Linked DNA regions of Zea mays. The main gene of each other region encodes a partner of the protein of the gene in region 2 in a complex. Links are inferred from orthologs where the notes say so. Each region holds a gene or a part of one and is shown on either strand. Other genes may lie near its edges.

Region 1 (4,079 bases), on a different chromosome or scaffold from region 2:
TACTTGTACGTCCAATTTGTGGGTATAGTCGTATTTTTTTTCTTTTTTTAAGTTAGGATGTGCTTAAATCATGGATACATAACTTGTAACCACTAAGCTAAGTATTGTTTTGCATTGTAAATTACACTGTTTGTAGAGTGAAGTTTAAAATAGAGAGCTTGCTGGAGATAATATAACTTAGCCCTAGTTTGCAAGAAATAGGAGACAAATGGAGTGAGAGAAAACCTTCTATAAATAACTAAATATCCTATGTAGAGCTAGAAAATAAGCTCGAGGCTTGCGAGCCGGCTCGAGCTCGGAGCGGCTCGGCTCGCGAGCATCGAGCGGCTCGTTCCGACTCGTGAGCTGTGACAAATTACTTAACATATAGAATAATGATATAATGATGGATATTAGCTAATTTTATAGATTGTAAGTTACTTAGCGTTTTATGATAGATATATAAAAACAATAATTTAGATTACTCATAATAATGAATGATATCTATATATTTCATATTTATATACTAATAATTCACTATATAATGAAATTATATAATATCAGGGTATGGCTCGCGAGCCGCCTTTGAACCGAGCCTGTTTCTCCAGCTCGTGAAACAGACGAGCCGAACCGAGCTCGGTCGGCCACCGAGCTGCACCGCTCGGCTCGTTTCCAGCCCTAATCCTAGGGTTTGTTTGAGAGCAAGAATACTAGAAGGGCTTATAAGAGTCTAAAATTCTCATGTTATTCAATTTTGAATATCATTGCTCTCAAGCAAGCCCTTATGCAGATAATGTTCCTAGGATTACTCACCGAGGGAAAATATAGGGATCTCTAGAGGATTTGGATTTCCAAACTACCTGTTAGTGTGCCACCGTAGTTTTGTTGTCCATAGCAAGACAAAGATACATACAAATAAAGGCACAGATATACGTGACTATGGCCCTGTTCCAATCTCGCGAGATAAACTTTAGCAGCTTTTTTTAGCTACTTTTAGCCATTTATAATCTAAACAGAAGAGTTAATGGTGGTAATTGAAACTAAACTTTAGCACTTCAATTCATATAGCTAAAGTTTAGCAGGAAGCTAAAGTTTATTCCGTGAGATTGAAACGGGGTCTAAGCCCCATCTGGATCTCAAATTCTCAACGGATTTTAAGGACCTGACAAAAAGAATCCCAGAATACCACAAGTGCAGCACAGTAGCAGTGCCCTCTGCACGTTTATAGCACATAGCAGTATGATTTCAAGGCCACAGGTGGGATCTATTTGGCGTACTCGTTTCCGCTGAGGTGCTCAGCTCACAGCAGAAATAATACAGGCAACGAAAGCAAGTCCCAAGGAAGGAGTGTAGGACGCGGTAGATCCTCCACTACTGCGGCTTCTCGTAGCTGTTCTGGTCCCTGAACTCCCCGATCTTGCTCCTGATCATGTGCGCCACGTGAGGCTGCACGAACATGTTGGTAGGGTCGAGCATGTGCACGATGAACCTCTCCGACGGCGGCATCGACGCGTTCAGGTTGACGATGAACTGTGCCATAGGTACGTCGCTGAAAAATAGAGGGACGGACGGACGGCAACCATGTAAAGGCAGGGAGAGAGGGAGAAATGCAAACGAGGGATTCATTTTCAGCTGCGTCAGGAGAGCTTACCAGGAGATGAACAGCCCCTTGATCGCGTTAACCATCTTGCCTGTGCTCTGGACAGGGACAACTGCCTGGTTACATCGCCACACAGAAACAACGTCAGTTGGAGTACCAAAGAAGCAGCACCAGGACTGCAAACTTTTCGCACGAAAACGACGCGCATGAAGGTGATAGACTGGTGTCGCAGTGATTGTAGGATTGGTTGAAGGACAGAACAAAGGGTCAGCAAGATGCTCCACGTTTTCTTGCGCGCATAATCTCAGCGGATATCTTGTAATTCTCTGTGCACGCATTACACCGAACAACTACAGGGCACGGAGGGATTCAACGACAAACATAATAATCGCTTCTATTATTTTCGTAGCGGCAAGTAGGCCAATCATCAACCGAGGTCAGCTGAGTCGGAGGAAGAAGTGGCCCTCGGGGAGTTCCATGATCCGTCCCAATTCCCAACTCTCTTGCTCTCACCATGTCGATTCAGAACGGGAGGGAAAAAAACCAAACAAAAAAGTTCAGATCCGAGACGGCCTCACCGTTGCTTGGCACCGACGACGACGCTCGTCGTGGTCCCGCGTCCCTCCCGGCCGCAGGATTCAGTCCTCTCGCTTCGGATCGGATCCTCCACTCTTCGCTCGCCGGCGGCGCCGCAGCTCCTCTATCTATCGGCCTCACCTTTCCTCGCTTCTCCTTCAGCCCTCTTTGCGGCAGACGATAAAGATGCTGGGCCCGCTGGCTTCTTCGCCCGCCCACCAAACCCATGTTCACAGCCCACGGTCCGACCCATTTCTTGCAATTTGACACCGCAGTTTCCGTCCACAAAAAAAAAAAAGAACAATTAGATCTATACCATTAAAAGATCCAAACTTTAGATATATATCATGGATCACACATGTCATTGACTCATGTGGACCTATATATAAGTGAGATAGTAATGGTATGGATCCAAAGTGGTGATCTTTTAATGGTATGAATCTAAATTTCCAAAAAAAAAATTGCGTACGAATCATGGAACACCCGAGGGCCACTTCCTCCTCTCCTGACTCAGCTGACCTCGGTTGATGACTGGCCTACTTGCCCCTACGAAAATAATAGAAGCGATTATTATGTTTGTCGTTGAATCCCTCCGTACCCTGTAGTTGTTCGGTGTAATGCGTGAACAGAGAATTACAAATTTATGTCCAGCAATAGCAGAACCAAATTGTCATATGACAGTACTTAAAATTCAGTGAGGAACCACACTGTGTAACAGAATTTTGAAAAGGTGATGGTGAAAAACTTACTACAAATCTAGGATATTTTAGGTCTGCAAGGTTGCTGATTAACTAGGTACTAGGTATTCATAAATTTGATACTTAAACTGTCGTACTCATACCCAATAAATTAGATGACCTTAAATTGCGAAATTTCATGAAAAAGGAGAAAAAAATACACAAATCACTTCGCGCAGAGCTTCACACCACCACACAGCAAATCACTTGCGCATTTATTATAATTTTGGACAAGAACGTAGCTCATTTGGTGGGGAAGTAATTATCAAACAAAATAAAATTTGTGCGTGCAGCATGGACGTGGCTATATGAATGCACGGCATGTGCAGATGTGCCGCTGCCCAAGATTTGCTAATACAAGTGACCAAAGATGTGTTAGGTAGTAGTAATTGAGGAGACAAAGAGAGTGAGAGACCTGCGGCCAGCGGCCTCCAGCCTCCAGGTGAACATGACTGTGACGGTCTCAAACAATCAAACCTGAGGGGATGTGCAGTGTGCTGCACGGCTTGTAGCGGTGCAGCCCTGCACCCAGCACGCTGGAGAGCTGGTCTGCTGCCTGGCCCGCCCGCTCGAGGGAGATTGGGATTTGGGAGGACGAACGAGAGAGTCGAGTCGGCGACGATGACAGAATAGAAGCTAGTTTTCTCACTTTGCTGGTCACTTTATATATGTCGGTCATTGAGTCTTAATTCTATGGCCCGAATTCTTTAGTGCCTGTTTATATGGGCTCGTGAGGATTAGGGACGAAGAAGAGACTACCATACTCGTCCCCGCTAAACCTGATGGAGATGATTCTTTCTCATTTTAATACCTCATTGAAATAAATTGTAACTATCCCCGTCTTGTAATATCTCCGCGGGGAACGGGACTTCATTACCATCTCTACCTAGGATTGCCAAACAGAAATGACATCGACTGTGTGTTCAAATAAATCAAAATATACATTGTTTTTGGACATACAAAAACTCTAATTTTCAATCCCATCACAAATTAAGGGGTAAGCATACCTTCTACAAAATGCAAGGTGACGATGCTCATAAAATGGTATAAGCAATCAAACGCCTTGTTCGATCGCCAACTTCCATCCAGTGACATATCTGAAAAAAATTAGGAGAGACTAAAGGTCTGTTTGGTTCGCTGTTTAACATGTCACACTTTAGCTAACTTTTTTGTCTAAGGTTAGTTCT
Region 2 (5,382 bases):
CCAAGTGTGGAGAACTAACTAGCGTAAGACCACAAGTTCGACATTCTGTTGGAAGCTCACAGACATTAACTTTGCATCTAGGACATATGTAACCTTCAGCCCCAGATTTTATCTTCTTGTGACAAGAGCAAATAGAGATAAGCTCCTCAGCACCCCTCTGTGGAAAGCCCATCTTAATCAAATTAGCTGCAGCATATTCTGCTATTGCAGGAGGTGGGGGAGCATGTTCCAGTAACAACTCTTTGAAATGAGACTGTAAAAAGAAAGGAAATGCCGTTAATCTTTCATAACGATCGAATAATCAAAGGTAAAATCAAAATTACATCTTAGCACCTCATCCAGTGCAACTGTGTAAGATCCACCAGTCTCTTCACATAGATGTTTGCAAATGAAGATCTCTGCAGCAAGACCAATAACAGAGCATCTAATTTTTGACTTCTTACACTTTGCTATTGTCTCCGTGATATCACCAGGATCAAATGTATTCAGGGCAGAGTATAAAATCAGAACTTCCTTGTGACCATATGATGGTACTTGATCTAAATAACCATGTACGAGGTCTAGAGCATTCTGCAGGGATGAATCACCAGAACACTCAAGCTTCCCCATCAAAGCCTTAATCTGTGACTCTGGGCTCCCTCCGATTTCTGTAAGTCGATGGGCAATACCATCTTTAATTGTCACTAGGCCAACATGGCTCAATGGATTCTGGTCAAAGAATTCTCTTATGAAAGCCTCAGCATGTTTTGCAACAACAGCCATTCGACTAGGACGATAATCCATCTCTGAAGCCGCCTACATGAGTAAAAAACAATTTTGAGAACGCAAAGGTGCAAAGAGCGTGTAATGATTATTTGAAGTAGAACAATTCTTCGCTGCCACAAAAACAACTGAGGAAGCCAATCTTATAAACTTGAAACATGTATGCATGCTCAAAGATAAGGTTATAAAATTACCAGAGAAAAAAACAATTGACAAGGATGTTAGAGAGATATTTTTTACGAGAAATGTGCAGTTTCGAAACAATACAAAAATCAAAATGTATGCTTTGTCATATCAGAAAAAAAATCCATGTTAGTTAAAGCAGTGTTTGATTGTTTCATTCTCAAATCTCAATTGACATTATAAAATATACAATCAGCTGAATAGACATTATTCTTTGCACATTTTTAACAACAAAAATAAATTATCACATCCTGATGACTCTTTGCAGTAAGTCCTGGAATAATGTTACCATAAGTCAAATGAACATGTATCAAATAATTCCATATCTACCTAATTCATCAGTGAAGATTAACTGTTCATTTGTGCAAATCCATAGGGTCTGGATCAATACCAAAAAAAATGAAAACATCCTTTTATTTTTAAATTCCAAGAGTAGTCTATATTTTGTGTCTACATATAGAAGTGTTCCATAGATCAACTATGTGGTAATTGTTAAAGACCTTTTCCTGCAACCATAGTTCATGCACTTCTTGTGATGTCAGGATTTTGTTGGAGCAAGCCATGCCAATGGTAAAAACAAAACCATATGGCACGTGATTTGCTTCTCTACAGAAATCTATACAAGGATTGACAGAGAGAATTAACTTCCCAGATGTGGGGAAACAATTAAAAAAGCATCTTCAGACATATCCAGGCAGCAATAGCAATAACCCTCCCCAGGAACACCTTCAAACTGATGAAAAAAAAAATAGTCTGTTTGATGAGGGAGACATGAGACATTCACTCTATCCGACATATATCAAATATACATAGTGTATCCAGATCAGAAAGTATGCTTAAAAGTTAAAACATTTCAGAATTTAACAGGATTCATCCGATAAGAACCTCATGCATAAAATGAAACGATAATCCAATCTCAATATATGAAAATTCCAAACAAGTATTGTGTCATCAACATTTTGTTTCAGCAATCCAATTGGTGTGCACACATATAAAATTGAACTTGGACTGCTTGGTTGTGGTAGGCTTGAACTCCAAACAAAATATTGCTGCCAACAGCAATACTAACAATTGCAATTTGCAAATACCTGGGTTCATGTTTCCCTTCATGATTCATAGACATGAGTCTATTATTCTGCAGTACAGAAATTCTTACCGTATAACCTTAAGGTAGCATTGGTTTCTGGATTTAGTGGAGAATTAGGTCTCGAGTTCTCCATACCTATGCCCTGGCCAATGGGCCATGGATACAAACCATGGTAGATCTTAGAATTTCCAAAATACCGTTTTTACCCATCTAACAAACTGTTTCCTCACATAAAATGATTGATCTCTCAAAGACTCAATCTTAAAGTTGCTAAATCAGCATTAGATTCTAAAATTGGCCTCGTGTCTTCCAATTACAGCATCACCCTCTGAATGTACAAGCCAAATAAGATAATGGTCACAGCTTGGGGCTAAACAAACGGCATTAAAGGCAACCAATCAGATCATATCACCTACATCGCTCTACAAACAAATAAACCAGGATTACTCACAGACAGGCATCACCGCACCATCTTCACAACATTTCACAAGCTTATAGATGAACCTACAGGTATACGAAACTAGCAAAAGGCAGTCCTAGTATTCACTGCTCCGTTCATGCCTTAAGTAAGTGAACACTTAAGAACCAAATGTGTAGCCCATAAGTAAGGCCGTAAGCAATGCCACATCTCTCTCGGAACAAGAGATCGCAATCACAAGCCGGTGTCAAGTTAGCACGATCGGCATTTGTACCAGTCTGTCGGGTCCAAAACAACCAAACCGACTTCGAAGAAAAATATGCTCGCCAGGTGCTTGATGATGTGGCAAGCCGAACGAAAGAGAACATGAAGCAAAGGGAACGAACCCGGGAGAGGTCTATGACGATGTAGAGGTAGCGGATGAGCCCCTTTTGGATGCGGGCAGCGGCGGCGGCGGCAGACCGGAGTAGGAGGCGCCGGCGGTACTGCGCGTGGACGAGGGTCTTGGTGTCGACGGGACGGAGGAGGCCCGACTCATCCTCCTGCAGTGACTCCCACGACCGTTCGTCCGCGTACGCGCGCTCCCACGCCTCCAGGACGCGGCCCTCACCGCCCTCATCCTCCTCGTCCTCCTCTTCGTCGCCTGGGTTGCGGCGCCGAGAGGCAGCGGTGGAGGGCGCGTTGAAGCCGCCGCCGACGCCGTACATGGTGTGGGCGTGGGGAAGGGGCGGCCGCCGACGCCGCCGGAAGAGTGGAACTGGAGGCGAGGTCGGGATTCGGGGACCAGCACATGGGCCAGGCGGGTGCTTGGTGCCTCCAGTTTGGGGCTCCTGGGCTTTTGGTTTGGTTTACAGGAGCCTTAAGCCCCTTTTACCAATTTTCTAAGCATCTGTTTGATACAGGAGCATTCAAAATAGAGGAATGCAAAAAAAAAAAAGCAGCGGAATATAGAAATACCGGTATATCAGAGTAAAGAAAATGTATACAGGAGACATCTGAATAGATAGTTTAGAACACAGCAACCAAAACATAAGAATGCAAGTGGTGCTGACTTCAAGAGTTTACACTTCGTTTTTTTTCTCTCTATGCCATCCTTGATGGAAAATGGGTCAACGAAACATGTGCTACCAACCATCAGACGACATTTGCCAGTCAGTGGTTATCTGATTTCTGCTTCCTTCCGTCAGCTCAGCAACAAAGTACTTAAACAGTGCTCTGAACTTGTCAACTGAGCAGGCGGCTGAAGTTGAGGAGACGTGTAGGCCGACTTTAGGCTAACTGCAGCGGCTGCCGGGCGTCGCGCCCCATCCCCTTACACATGACGGCGCACGGCAGTCCGCAGCGCTGCCCCTACGTCTACGGTGCCTCCCACGATGCAAGGGCGTGCCGTCCTCTTCTCTTTTCCACTGAATGTAGCGTGCGCTCGTCTTCTCTATTTTACTGTAATCTGGATTCGGCTCTAATTGTTAATATAAGAAAAATTAATAGTGGATAAAAAATAATATATGAAATAATATTTTATGGTTGTAGTGAGTTACAAGGGGAGAAAATAGGAGAGACCGCTGCGGGAGATGAAAAGTTAAAGGGCTGAAATATTGAAGATGTAACAAAAAAAAGTGATATATGGAGAGAAATTTAGAGAAGACCGCTGCAGATAGCCTTAGGTCCATGTTTCCCTTCATGATTCATGGAGAATAGTGGCTGACGTGCGACTAGCGTGCTAGTGTGGGCACCCTCTGCGCTCACACTCTAGCCCCGTCCCACGTGCCCTACCTCGGTGTCGTGCTCTGTGGGCCCCACGTGCAAAAAATAGTGCAAAACGATCACTCGAATCCATGCCTCTCTATTCCAGAAATTTGGGGCTAACCACCAGACCACGCGTATCTTAATATTTACAAATAAACAATAATTATATTTGAATACATATATCAATACTTATTTATAAGGTAAATAACAACCGTAGCAAAACACGAGCAATTGGCTAGTGTGTGTATATATAAGGTCGGTATATTAGAAGTCATGAGCTTCAAATAGTTAGAGCAAGCCCCGCCCGACCACCTATGTGACTTGTCCAGGCCAGCGCGTCCACCCACACCCTAAGCAGGCTGTTGGGTGCACCCCCCCCAACCCCACATCTGTGCGCGCAAAAAAAATAAGGAAGGCATACATGAGTCAAACACGTTACTCTACACGCGCGTAAATTTAGAAAAGAGATGTGTGACGATTTTTGAAAGTCGCCTAGAGGGGGGTTGTTGGTCACTTGTTCTCAAATGCTATGAGTTAAGAACAAGACAACACAAAACGTTAATAGTCAAAGACCTTCGTCCTTCGAAGCATTATCTCCCTTAGGATATAATGATCATCAGACGAAGGTTATGAAGGACATACCTTCATCATCTCAGCATATAATAATAAAAGTAGAAACATATGAGACATGGAAAATAACATGAATAATCATATGATATTATCAGGACATTTTTATTATATTATCATGAATGAATATGAACAATATCGAATTACATTTATACCTTCGGCTTGACAGAAGGTAAAAGGCTCGAGAGTGACGTGCAAGCGAATACAAGTCAACGTGAACAGTACAGTGCTACTATTCATCTATTTATAGACACAGGACACAGCTTGTGTAAATTACATTCATGCCCTTGACATTTACTATTGACCTAGGGATAATCTATCAAGGACTAGACAGCCTTTTCCCCTTTAGGTCGGTTCCATTTTTCGCTGCTAAGCCGAAGCTTCTCCACAGGTAGCTTCGGAACGGGTTCATCCTTCTCCCGATTCGTGCTTTTTATATCGTGTACAACTTCATCCTAAGGCCGAAGGTCCCTGTATATATATTTGAACTTGGGAAACATGTTAGTCATGTTTTTGAGGACCTTCGGAAGACGAAGGCCCCCAACAGTAGCCCCTCGCA
Region 3 (5,226 bases), on a different chromosome or scaffold from region 2:
ATGCCTTTCTGTAGTTATCAAGAGCCAATGTTGTCTCAACGACATCTGGTGTTTCGATAAACACTAATTTATGTTGCATGATGTCCTGAAAAACAGTAAAACCAGGTTTTCGTTATTGGAACTAATGCATATACATCTTATCTTGGCTATATAACATTTACAGGTATTTTATTTTCATAACACAGATGACTAGCATATCTTTGTGGATAACAAAAATTAGCACCAATACCGAGCATATCCTTTAGATAACAAAACCGAAGATATGGTAGATGTAGTTCTTTGTCCAAAGACTAGATAGCATCTATCTAGAACCAAAGGAAAGACTTAAAGCAGCCTATCCAGTTCCATATGCAATTATGCATGTTGCCGATGTAATAAATAATTTGACAGTGTCTACAGGAGTGAGTCTTAATGCAACTTGAGACTCTTATAGACTTATAGTCTTATTAAGTTATTATCAATATAGATAGTTGAATGGAAAATCTAAAACAGACAACAATATGGAATTAGATGCTTAGACACCATTTCATATACTTACTATAAACCGATGATGTTCCAGAGGACATGCCCAATTATCTAACAGATATGGACGATTTATGAACTTAGCTGAGTTGCATAGGTGTTACACGATTAGACACATCCCTCATTGCCATATCTATATTAATTGTAGGGTTTATATGAGAAAGAAATTTACAAGTGAAAGAAATAACCTGCAGAATTCCCATTTCGTGCCAGCTGTTGACAATGCCATCCATATAGGAATAACTGACAAAAAAGCAAACTATGCCATCTGGAACAGCAGAAGCCATTTCCAGCAAGAGGCGGCCATAATTCCTCACAACACCAGGATCACTACGCATATCGAACTTTGTACTCACAGGTAGCTGATCACTGAAGATGATGGAATGGTTGGTGTTTACACAGTGTACAATGCTACCAGTAATATGAAATGTTGGAAACAACTAAAGATGTTATAAAAGCTTAACATAAGTGTCATATGATTCTCAGGAATAAAAATGTATCATGTATACGCAAGACAGTGTTAGCATTTCCAAACCTAAGAATATGTTGACAATGCTAGCATTTAAAGACTAACATAAGTGCCATGCTTAACATAAGTGTCATGCTACAGTACAGTAGATTTTGAAATATGAAGTTCGCGTGGGACCAGCTCATACCTTCCTCGGGTCAAGACCATGGGACAAATACAATCTCTTGTTAAGGACATGGTGAAGCTTCTGCTTATGACAGGATTAAAATTCAAGAGACGAGGGTAAAGATCTATTGGGCTGAGAGTTCCAGAAGTGATCACAACCGTTTCGAAACGATCAAAAACAGGTCTTATTGCGAGTGAAGCATCATGGCAACTCAGCTGCAGAACAAATGAGTTCATTAGTAGCACACTAAAGAAGCAGAGTGTGTATACAATTTCAGCATGATCACAAAGAGTAGTCTGGGTACCTGAATAACAGGATCACGAATATCAGGCATTCTATCATCATACGGCTCTATTATAATAGAAAAGCCCCGTGTATAAGTTCCAATCAGTGTGGCAAAGTCACATATGGTCTGTATGTGCATGAACTCATCTGTATCAGTTATCTCTAATGTCATCATTAGGGAGTGTAGCCGGTCATAACAAAACCTCAGCATTTTTTGGTCGATTCCAGCCTGGGAATGGATTGAGGCAACAAAGGAAACTGGCATTTCATTCTCAACATTTTCTGTTTCAAGCCGGCCATCAAGGAATCTCACAAGCCTCCGCAAGACAGCAAGAAAATGTTCAGCCCTCCTTATGTTTCCAGGAACAGCTTCCTTCAAGATGTCATCAGGCAAAGACGGATTCGCGAGCCAAGCATCCGATACTTCATCACAAGAAGCATAATACTGTGAGCTATATGCAGAAGGCTATAGCTGACAGTGCGAAATGCAGTACTGGTGGCAAAAGGCCAGTGCTTACTTGGTAGATTTCCTCGCTGTGCCAGTCCATCCACCAGTCTGTTGTATTCAGCACGAAGCCTATTGGCATCGGTGGCCTTGAACCTTCCTACCAGATAAAGCAGTTGGCAAAGCAAGCTTAACTATCCATCACAAAGTTGAAGATGAATAGTTCTAAAGAAACAGGACCTATCGTTCAGTGGCTATTGGTGGCTGGCTTAAGTATATCCAACAATTGGGAGTGGTACCTGTCGATCTCTTGCGAGATGCGCCGCAGATTTCGCTCTGCGCCTTCCAGCGTCTGCTTGCGGATGCTGACGCTCAGCGCCTCTATGCAGACATTGTCAATGTTGTGAGCCTCATCGAACACGACCACACACTCCTTCTGCATCTCCCTGGACACAATGCTGGCCACCTTGGGGTCGAGCAGGTACTGGTAGCTGTACACCACAACATTGGCGTACTTGACCATCTGCCTGGCAAGGAAGTAAGGGCAGACCCGGCGCTCCCTTCCGAGCGCGCGGAGGTCTGCCAGGGTGTACACCCCGGGCGGCATGAAGGAGGCGAGGTCGCCGGCGGCAGCGGCCCGGTCGAACGTCTCGTAGAACTCGCACAGCGGGGTGGAGTCCGGGTCGGAGGAGGCCTTCTCGCGGACCCAGGAGGCCGTAAGGCGGCGGCAGGCGGTGTCGACGGAGTCCCGGGCGGCGGCGGCGGACGCCTGCGGGTGGATGCAGAGGTTCTTGCGGGAGGAGAGGCCGAGCGCGAGGAGGGAGCGGGAGGCCGCGGGCGGGAGGTGGGCGAAGAGGAGGCGGAGCTCGGCGAGGGTCTTCTCCATCTCGTGCACGGTGCGGGTGCAATAGATGAGGCGGAGCGGGCGGGCCGGGTTGGCGAGGGAGTAGGAGGTGATGAGGGAGATGAGCGCCGCCGTCTTGCCGGTGCCCGTGGGCATCTCGAGCAGCGCGTGCCCGCGCGCGTCGAGGGCGCGCTTGAGCTCCCCCATGTACGCGTGCTGCTCCGGGTAGATCGCCGCGTACGGGAAGTGCACGGGCAGGCCATCCAGGTCAAACCGCATTGTGGCGGAGGGGAAAGGCAACCGAGGGGCAACGCCGGAGGGGTTTGATTCGCCGGAGAGCGGAGAGGCGGAGACGGTGCTCGCGCCGCCGCCGCGGGGTGGAGATCACGTGAGGTGCTCGGTGGAATGCCCCCGTGCAGAGGAGATGCTGGTGGGCTCGTAATCGTAACGAGTATAGGCTTCTGGGTTGGGCTGGTACAGAGAACAGAGTCGGCTGCGAGCTACGGGCTACGAATGAACGATACAAAGGGTGGGAAGGCCACTCATAGCCCTCTTTGTTTCAGTTTTTTCGGTTTCTGTCCACCAAAAATTATTGTGGACGGTTAAACGCTCAACTTTTTAGCTAGCTTCTATAAAATTAATTTTGGTAAAACCATCTGAAATCAATATAAACACATAATCGGTTGAGTCGTTGCAATAATAGGAATCCGTCAATTTCTAGATCCTGAGCCCTATAGACAAATTCATCTTTCTTTGCACATAATCGCAACGATACTCAAATTCTCTACACATCCAGATTCTCCCCACATTCAGATTCTCAGAAAAGTTGAACCAAACAGGCCTTGTACCCCTAGAGTAGAATTTAAAGTACAACCTTCTGGGTTGGGCTCGTACAGAGATCTTACAATTTTTTATTGCGACGGCTCACAACAATATTGTGTCCTCCTCGGCAACACGCACGGAGAAAGGCCAAGAGCAAGACCGACACACCCCATATTCGTGTCGACGAGCGTCGGTCGGCTCGCGGCTGCAACCGTGGGCGGGGGAGCAGGTTGGGGAGGAAGAACATGGCGAAGGCCAGAAAGACGAGCGAGACTTCCGACAGCGGCGAAAACAATGGTGCGCGCATGCTATGAAACGTCCTCATGGATGTGCAATAGCCACTGCGTGGGTCGGTGTAGGGGCTGGTGTCAGACGAATATGGGGAGGAGGCGTCTGCTTCCACACCCTCCGCCGAGAATGGGGTGGCACGGAGGCGGAGGCATGAGGGGAGAGAGAAAAGAAGTAGGATGACGAACGAGGTGGTGACAACTGAGTCGAGTACTATCATTATCGTGCGAAGGTACAGATGATCAAATGTGTCGTGTCTGGTGGGCTAGTCTGAGGCACGACCCATTTAATAGTGTCTAGGCCAGCCCGACATGAGTGTTGTGCCATGCTTGGGCCGTAGCCTCGACCCGACACGATTATATATTTTTAATTTTACAAAAAAGCATATATACACATGTACAATTTATATTCAATATTGAAAACATCTGAGTATGATGTTCTACTGGTTAGACGATTTCACCTAGTGTCTCCCGCCATTCTTCCAATAGGCGTGGGTTCAAACCCCACCTTCGACACTATTTTTTAACATTTTATGCTGATTTAACCAAATGGCCCGACGGGCTAACGGGCCGGTGTGTCGTGCCTGGGCCAGAGCTGCGGTCTGCGGGCGTCGAGCCCGTGCCAGGCTGCCGTTAAGGGGACAGGCGTGCAACAGGTTAATTTGAAGTAGATGTGATGTGTTATTTGTAAAAAGATGACGCAGAACGACTGTTGAAACTCATATTTTAATATAGTAGAGATATAGAGAGAGATTTTAGTGTATTTTGGTTAGTTCTATTTGGTTTAAAGCCTTAGGTGGCCAAGCCAAAATTTGGTCAGTATTTGACCATATTTGACTCTAAATTAAAATTTGGTCAGATAATAAATTGCTCATTTATATAGCTTAGGTATAGTCAAATAAACCATATGAGTGAAAGTTTTGTTCTATAGTATGATTTTAATTTGAAGTCAAGCTTAGTCAAACTGTGACCAAAATTTGGCCTGGTTAATAATGGCCTGGAACCAAACATTGTTGCCTAACTATCAATGGATGCTAAATGTTTTATTATATGGAGCAAACTCATTTTTCTCTACTAGTCTATACCCGTGCTAACGCTACGGTCTTTGGGAGGGGAGAGGAGGAGCCAGCACTGGCGTGAGGGAGGGGAGGGGCGACAGACTCTAGGCAGAGGGCGAGGCAGTGGCGTGTGAGGGATGAGAGGAGAAGAATGATCCAAATAACGTTGACCATTATATTTTAGCGACTAAGAGAGATGATGATTATACAACGATCTAAACCGTTGGTTTTGAAGATGTGTTATGTGTGGGTGTAATTCGTTTGGTGGATTTACTGAAGGTTATGGGTGTGGGTGATTTGGTTGGGTGGGTTTTGCTAAGTTAAAACT
Region 4 (5,159 bases), on a different chromosome or scaffold from region 2:
GTCTAAATTGTCCTGCAGCTGAACTATGCAGTGAACGTGCTCCTATCCATCAACGTTGTGGTGGCTCTCCTTGTCGCGTTGATCCTTGACAACACAGTGCCAGGCAGCAGACAAGAGCGCGGTGTGTACATTTGGACAGATCCCAAATCCCTCGAGGTGGATCCTGCGACATTGGAACCCTACCGATTGCCGGAGAAGGTTTCGTGCTGGCTCAGGTGGGCAAAGTGTGACAAGGTTTTGCTCTTTCTCACACAACATTGAATTATCTCAAACTCATAGCAGGGTACTTTATTCGCCACTTTATTCACCTCATAACCATTAGTGTTCATCCAAAAAATAAAAAAATAGGGGAACACACACCTGAAAGCTGTCGATCTGGGGTAGCCGACCGAACCGAGGAGGTTGGAGATGCGATGTGTTTGCTTGCCCGTGGTTTGAGCTTGGATCGAGGCACAGACGGTCAAAGGCGTTTACAGATGCTGATCTTGGGCCGAAGGGAAGGTGGTGTTGGTCGTCGGTGCCCGCGACAGTCGACGGCGACGTCTGCTGCTACCTTTGCGGATGGAAACCGACAGATGCGAGCTGGCGTCCCTGGACCAGCCCGACTGCCCACGCCTGCTGCCTAGCTTCGCTGACGAAGCCGACCAAGCTCGCGCGAGACCGTGGTTGTGGGGGAGGGTCGCTAGAGAATCGGAGAAGGTCTAGTGCTCATCGACCCCGGATCGACATCTTATCCAACGAGACCTAGGCGGCACGGGAGGGGGAGGCGGGGGATAATGGGCCTTGAGCGCCACGAAGGACTCAGAGGTGGAAGCGGCGGCGTTGGCTAACGGCTTCTCGAGTGCGTCGGAGTGGGAGGAGGGCGAGGGCGGGGCCGGAGGGAACGGGGTTTCGAGGGGGGGCAGGGCGGGGATGACACGACAGAGCTCTGGGAGGGGTGCAGAGCGGGGTTCCATGGGAAGGGCGGGGATCTCGCGGTGGACGCGAAGGCGGCTGCCACAGCGGGGAGGCGGGACGGGCATCACGAGCGGGGGCGCGCAGGAGCGGGACGCGCGGGCAGGCGGGCGTCGAGAGGCAGAACATGACGCACATGTGGACGCCTACAATGAGGACTTATAGAGTAGTAGGGATATAAATACATTCTCAAAAGCCCCCAAAAGGAAAAATAGAACTATATGAGCTGATATATTAATATCAGCAGAGGGAGCCTGGATAACTTACGGCAAGGTATTGAAACAGGCCATTTAGTTCTTGTGGCTTCAAATAAACTCCTCCTGTTATGTACGAAGCCTGCATAATGAAATATCGGTAACTAGTCAGCAAGAGGATGTTGTGACAGTATAACATGTGGATGAATTTGATGAGTACTAAAGAGCATTACCTGCTGCAAGAAAGCAGAATCCTGGGTTCCCACAATACAAGAGTCAATTGGTACCTAAGAGATTAGTAAGAATGTTGCCAGTCATTAAGCCACCGTAGCTAAAGTTTTGGAACAATTATGGATGCATATCTACATAGGCACATTCCAATGTCTTGCTCTTTCTGAACCCACTACATGTGTCAAATTTGGATATTAAGTACTTACTCTATCTTAGTGTATAAGGTGTAACTACTTTTTATTCTAGTCCCATAATACAAGGCGTATTATCTCTAGACATGCGTACATCGATGCAAAAGTATAGAGAGAATTAAATACATTTCTTGGTCTTTGAGCCAGAGGTGGTTACGCCTTATATACTGGGACAGAAGGAGTAATAAGTAACAACATAGTGACTGGCTGGTGAAACGAAAAGATCAATAAATCTCAATGGGACTAAAATGGATTAAGCAATTGATGTGATACCATGGAACGTTGAGCAGAAAATATTGAATTCATCACTGCCACATATCTGCACATAAATTTGATGAAGTGAAAACTAGGTCCTGAAAAAAAACTAGAAACTGCATTGATGACGATGCGTGCATACTGTTCAGGTCCGTCTGGAGATCCCTGCAGGCACAAAATCTGTATCTCGTGTTAGTATCAACTGCCGTGGCATTATAATAAGTATGAGAATACTGACTACAACAAATTATGGGCCAAACAAAGCATTATTTGTTGATCACAAATGATGAAATTAAACATTACTCAGAACTCTACACTCACCCGAGGTTGTGGATGCCGAGACCCAGACCGGAAAATCCTCTGTATATCTAAATAACCTCAATGTTAAGCAACACGAGCACAAATAAGATAGGTGAATGTGCAATAGTCAAGGAATTCAAGCGACTGGATACAGCACAAAGAGATGGACAGCGCCCCAGAGAGCAGCGACGCGGCATTGGCAGAAGCAACGGAACCGTTGCCTGCAGTGGCGCGCGCATCTTGTGCAATGAACTCCTCCGCCTTGCGGCTTGCCTTGTCGAAGGTGTCCGAGACGGCCACACCACCGGAGGGGCTGGCATCGCTGGAATCCAGGATGTAGGCACACGAGCTGACTCCCGCCGCGATGACGACCACACGGTTGAGGTGGTTCAGCAGCAGGAGGGAGTTCACGAAGTGGATCAGCTGCACGGGCATGGATATCACATCAAGCCAAGGCCCAATGGACGGATCAGGGCACCGCTACCAACGAGTCATCTAACGCACAAAATCGCCAGTGAAGATCGAACAAGGAAGCAGGCGCAGGGAAGCAAATGGAGGGTTAGGGTTGCATACGTGCGCGAAGAAGTCGGCGAAGGGGAGCGCCGCGGCGGCCCAGAAGAAGGGGTTCGTGTCGACGACGACCACGACGAGGCTGACGTCATCTGCACGCGCCGACGGGTGGCACCAGATGGGTTGAGCGCGTGTGTGTTAGGACCATGAGGGCATCGCGGAGTACGGGGATGCAAGAGTGGCGCGTGGCTCACCGGAGTAGAGCTTGGAGTGAGCGGAGGTCATGGCCGGCGAGGGGGGTTGCTGCTGCTCGCGGCCCGGCGGCAGAGGCCGGTCGCGCGCCCAGCCAATTCAAAGCTCCGAGGCGCCGGCGGGGGTGCTCGCCTCTCTGCTGGGGCGGCGGCGTGGCAGACTGGCAGCTCCGAAGCCCAGCAGGGAAGAGCCGCCGTGTGTTACCTGGCCGGCTGGGGAGGCGGTGTGGCGGCTCGAGAACGAGGGACAGGGAGGCGGCGCGACAACGAGGGAGAGGGAGGCGGTGCGGCGAGCGTCGGCGCGAGAACGAGGGAGGCGGCGTGTGAGCGGCGTGTGGGGATGGCAACGGGCATACCCGTCCGGTAGGACCGGGCGTTCGGTTATTCGGTTCGGTTCATCGGTTCTTGTAGAAATTCGGTCCTTTAAAAACTAGAACCGAAATAGTAAGATAAAAAAAACTATAATCGACTAATTTGGTTCTCGGTTCTTCAGTTCGGTTCCTCGGTTCTAACCGAACTATAACAGTCACTCTAAAATTCTGAATAACGACAACTTTTGTGACAAATTTCAGCAACATCTCCCCATAAACAACCACAAGTGCGCAATGACCATAATTTCATAAATAATACATGGATGATTAGAGGTTCAACATAAGTTGATAACACAACATCCGAAGTTACAAACACATGTAACAAATTGAATCTAATACTTTTGAGTTTTTCGGTTCTTTGGAGTGCAGAACCGAAAATGTCTCATTTATTTCGGTTCTTAGAAAAACAGAACCAAATTTCATAACGGTTCCTCGGTTCGGTTAGTTCGGTTTCGGTTCCTCGGTTCCGATTCTTTTTGCCCAGTCCAACCGTCCGATAGTATCATTTCATACCCGTATCTATCAAAAAAAATCTACCTGTCGGATTACCCATATATGTTTGCGGGTATAAAATCTTACCCATACACGTACCCGCGCGGGTATTTTTACCCGTCGCGCAACCCGAACCCGATAGGAAAGTCTTAAATTTCAATATACCAATCACTCAAAATATTAAATAAACATGCAAAAAAAATCAACTTCACATATAACAAATCATATAATCACATAACTTGGTATCTAGACAAATGATAGTAAAAGAAGAGTTTTATTTTAGCTAGGATGAGCTCTATTAGATGGTTATAGTGGTATTGATGCGGGCATATTTTACCCATGGGTAGACGGGTACGGGTAGTACCAACTCGTACCCATACCCGTCTACCCAACGGGTAGAGGTTTTACCCATTAACATATCTGCGGGTAGAGAAATCATCCCGTACCCGCCTTCATATCGGGTAAAACCCGTCGAGTATTCAGGTTTCGGGTATCCATTACCATCTCTACGTGTGAGCGACTGAGCGTTTAGCCGTTTAGGACTTTAGGTTTAGGGTTGCGGCGGTCGGCGGGTTGTCTAGTTTTGCCGTTTTGGTGACTTGCGTTTGGGCCTTGGGGAATCCGGAAATGCACCAAATGGTGGGGAAATGGTCGAATGGCTAGTGGTCGTTGGATGGCGGCGCCGCCATACTATCGGACGGATAGAATTGCTAGTAGGCTTTAGTGTACCTTAGTTAAATGGGTCGTGTCAGGCCGGTCTGTGTGCTTAAGTTGAGGCCCAGGCACGGTCCATGCATTATCTCAGGCCGGCCCGAGCCTATAGATAGGTTGAGCTGTGAAGGACTGAGTCATAACTAGAATTGTGGGCTTTGGGCCAACCTGTTATGCATAACCCAAATGTAGTGGGAGTGTGCGTGGCTCTCGTACTGGAGAGTGGAGACTGATGACTGGTGATTCCTGGTCTCCTGGACTATACGTGGGCCTGGCCCAATATTCTGTGCTTGGGCTTAACAGTTTTTCGGCCTGGACTACGCCCGTGCTTCCTTCCTTATAAAATTGGAGTTTACAGCTGGTTGTCTTTTGGTGTCTGTTTGATTTTTGTTTAGTTTTTATTCGGACCGAACTTGTGTTTCAAACTTGGTTCTGTTCATTTTAAAAATGAAATCCGTACGATTTCCAATTTTTTTGCCATTCGAAAGCATTCGCTCTGCATGCACTCCAACCCTCGGAGAACTTTTTTACAGCAAAAGGTTTCAGTTCAACGGAGGATCCATCCAGAATTTGGGCGTTGCAGATCGACGATATCCCTGTCCATTCCAGCGTGCTGAATGCTGACTGCAACTGCAAGCAGAAGAGGTCACTCGAAGGAGTCCGGCGACAGCATCTGCGCCCCCTCGTCGCCCCCGCCCC

The links.
Region 1: General transcription factor IIH subunit 2-like (region 2) and REX1 DNA Repair family protein share a complex: the UniProt entries of both Arabidopsis thaliana proteins name them as parts of the 7-subunit TFIIH core complex. The link is inferred for Zea mays from reciprocal best matches to the Arabidopsis thaliana genes GTF2H2 and AT1G12400.
Region 3: General transcription factor IIH subunit 2-like (region 2) and DNA repair helicase UVH6 share a complex: the UniProt entries of both Arabidopsis thaliana proteins name them as parts of the 7-subunit TFIIH core complex. The link is inferred for Zea mays from reciprocal best matches to the Arabidopsis thaliana genes GTF2H2 and UVH6.
Region 4: General transcription factor IIH subunit 2-like (region 2) and General transcription and DNA repair factor IIH subunit TFB4-like share a complex: the UniProt entries of both Arabidopsis thaliana proteins name them as parts of the 7-subunit TFIIH core complex. The link is inferred for Zea mays from reciprocal best matches to the Arabidopsis thaliana genes GTF2H2 and AT1G18340.

What each region holds. Positions count from the first base shown.
Region 1 is NC_050101.1:47,598,955-47,603,033, forward strand, and holds REX1 DNA Repair family protein, read right to left. Parts: upstream 2,344-4,079; 5' UTR 2,158-2,343; intron 1,696-2,157; 5' UTR 1,666-1,695; coding exon 1,631-1,665; intron 1,529-1,630; coding exon 1,351-1,528; 3' UTR 1,112-1,350; downstream 1-1,111. UniProt on the Arabidopsis thaliana protein: Component of the general transcription and DNA repair factor IIH (TFIIH) core complex, which is involved in general and transcription-coupled nucleotide excision repair (NER) of damaged DNA and, when complexed to CAK, in RNA transcription by RNA polymerase II.
Region 2 is NC_050097.1:31,348,537-31,353,918, reverse strand, and holds the start of General transcription factor IIH subunit 2-like, read right to left. Parts: upstream 3,178-5,382; 5' UTR 3,158-3,177; coding exon 2,837-3,157; intron 796-2,836; coding exon 334-795; intron 254-333; coding exon 1-253. UniProt on the Arabidopsis thaliana protein: Component of the general transcription and DNA repair factor IIH (TFIIH) core complex, which is involved in general and transcription-coupled nucleotide excision repair (NER) of damaged DNA and, when complexed to CAK, in RNA transcription by RNA polymerase II.
Region 3 is NC_050105.1:91,195,426-91,200,651, reverse strand, and holds the start of DNA repair helicase UVH6, read right to left. Parts: upstream 3,236-5,226; 5' UTR 3,011-3,235; coding exon 2,187-3,010; intron 2,044-2,186; coding exon 1,961-2,043; intron 1,866-1,960; coding exon 1,462-1,865; intron 1,373-1,461; coding exon 1,179-1,372; intron 892-1,178; coding exon 711-891; intron 86-710; coding exon 1-85. UniProt on the Arabidopsis thaliana protein: ATP-dependent 5'-3' DNA helicase, component of the general transcription and DNA repair factor IIH (TFIIH) core complex, which is involved in general and transcription-coupled nucleotide excision repair (NER) of damaged DNA and, when complexed to CDK-activating kinase (CAK), involved in transcription by RNA polymerase II.
Region 4 is NC_050099.1:247,477,177-247,482,335, forward strand, and holds the start of General transcription and DNA repair factor IIH subunit TFB4-like, read right to left. Parts: upstream 3,127-5,159; 5' UTR 2,921-3,126; coding exon 2,890-2,920; intron 2,788-2,889; coding exon 2,699-2,787; intron 2,549-2,698; coding exon 2,278-2,548; intron 2,203-2,277; coding exon 2,147-2,202; intron 2,006-2,146; coding exon 1,968-2,005; intron 1,890-1,967; coding exon 1,844-1,889; intron 1,436-1,843; coding exon 1,382-1,435; intron 1,291-1,381; coding exon 1,222-1,290; intron 329-1,221; exon of another isoform or gene 19-328; intron 1-18. Other genes in the region: 65-kDa microtubule-associated protein 3-like, read right to left, coding at 5,107-5,159. UniProt on the Arabidopsis thaliana protein: Component of the general transcription and DNA repair factor IIH (TFIIH) core complex, which is involved in general and transcription-coupled nucleotide excision repair (NER) of damaged DNA and, when complexed to CAK, in RNA transcription by RNA polymerase II.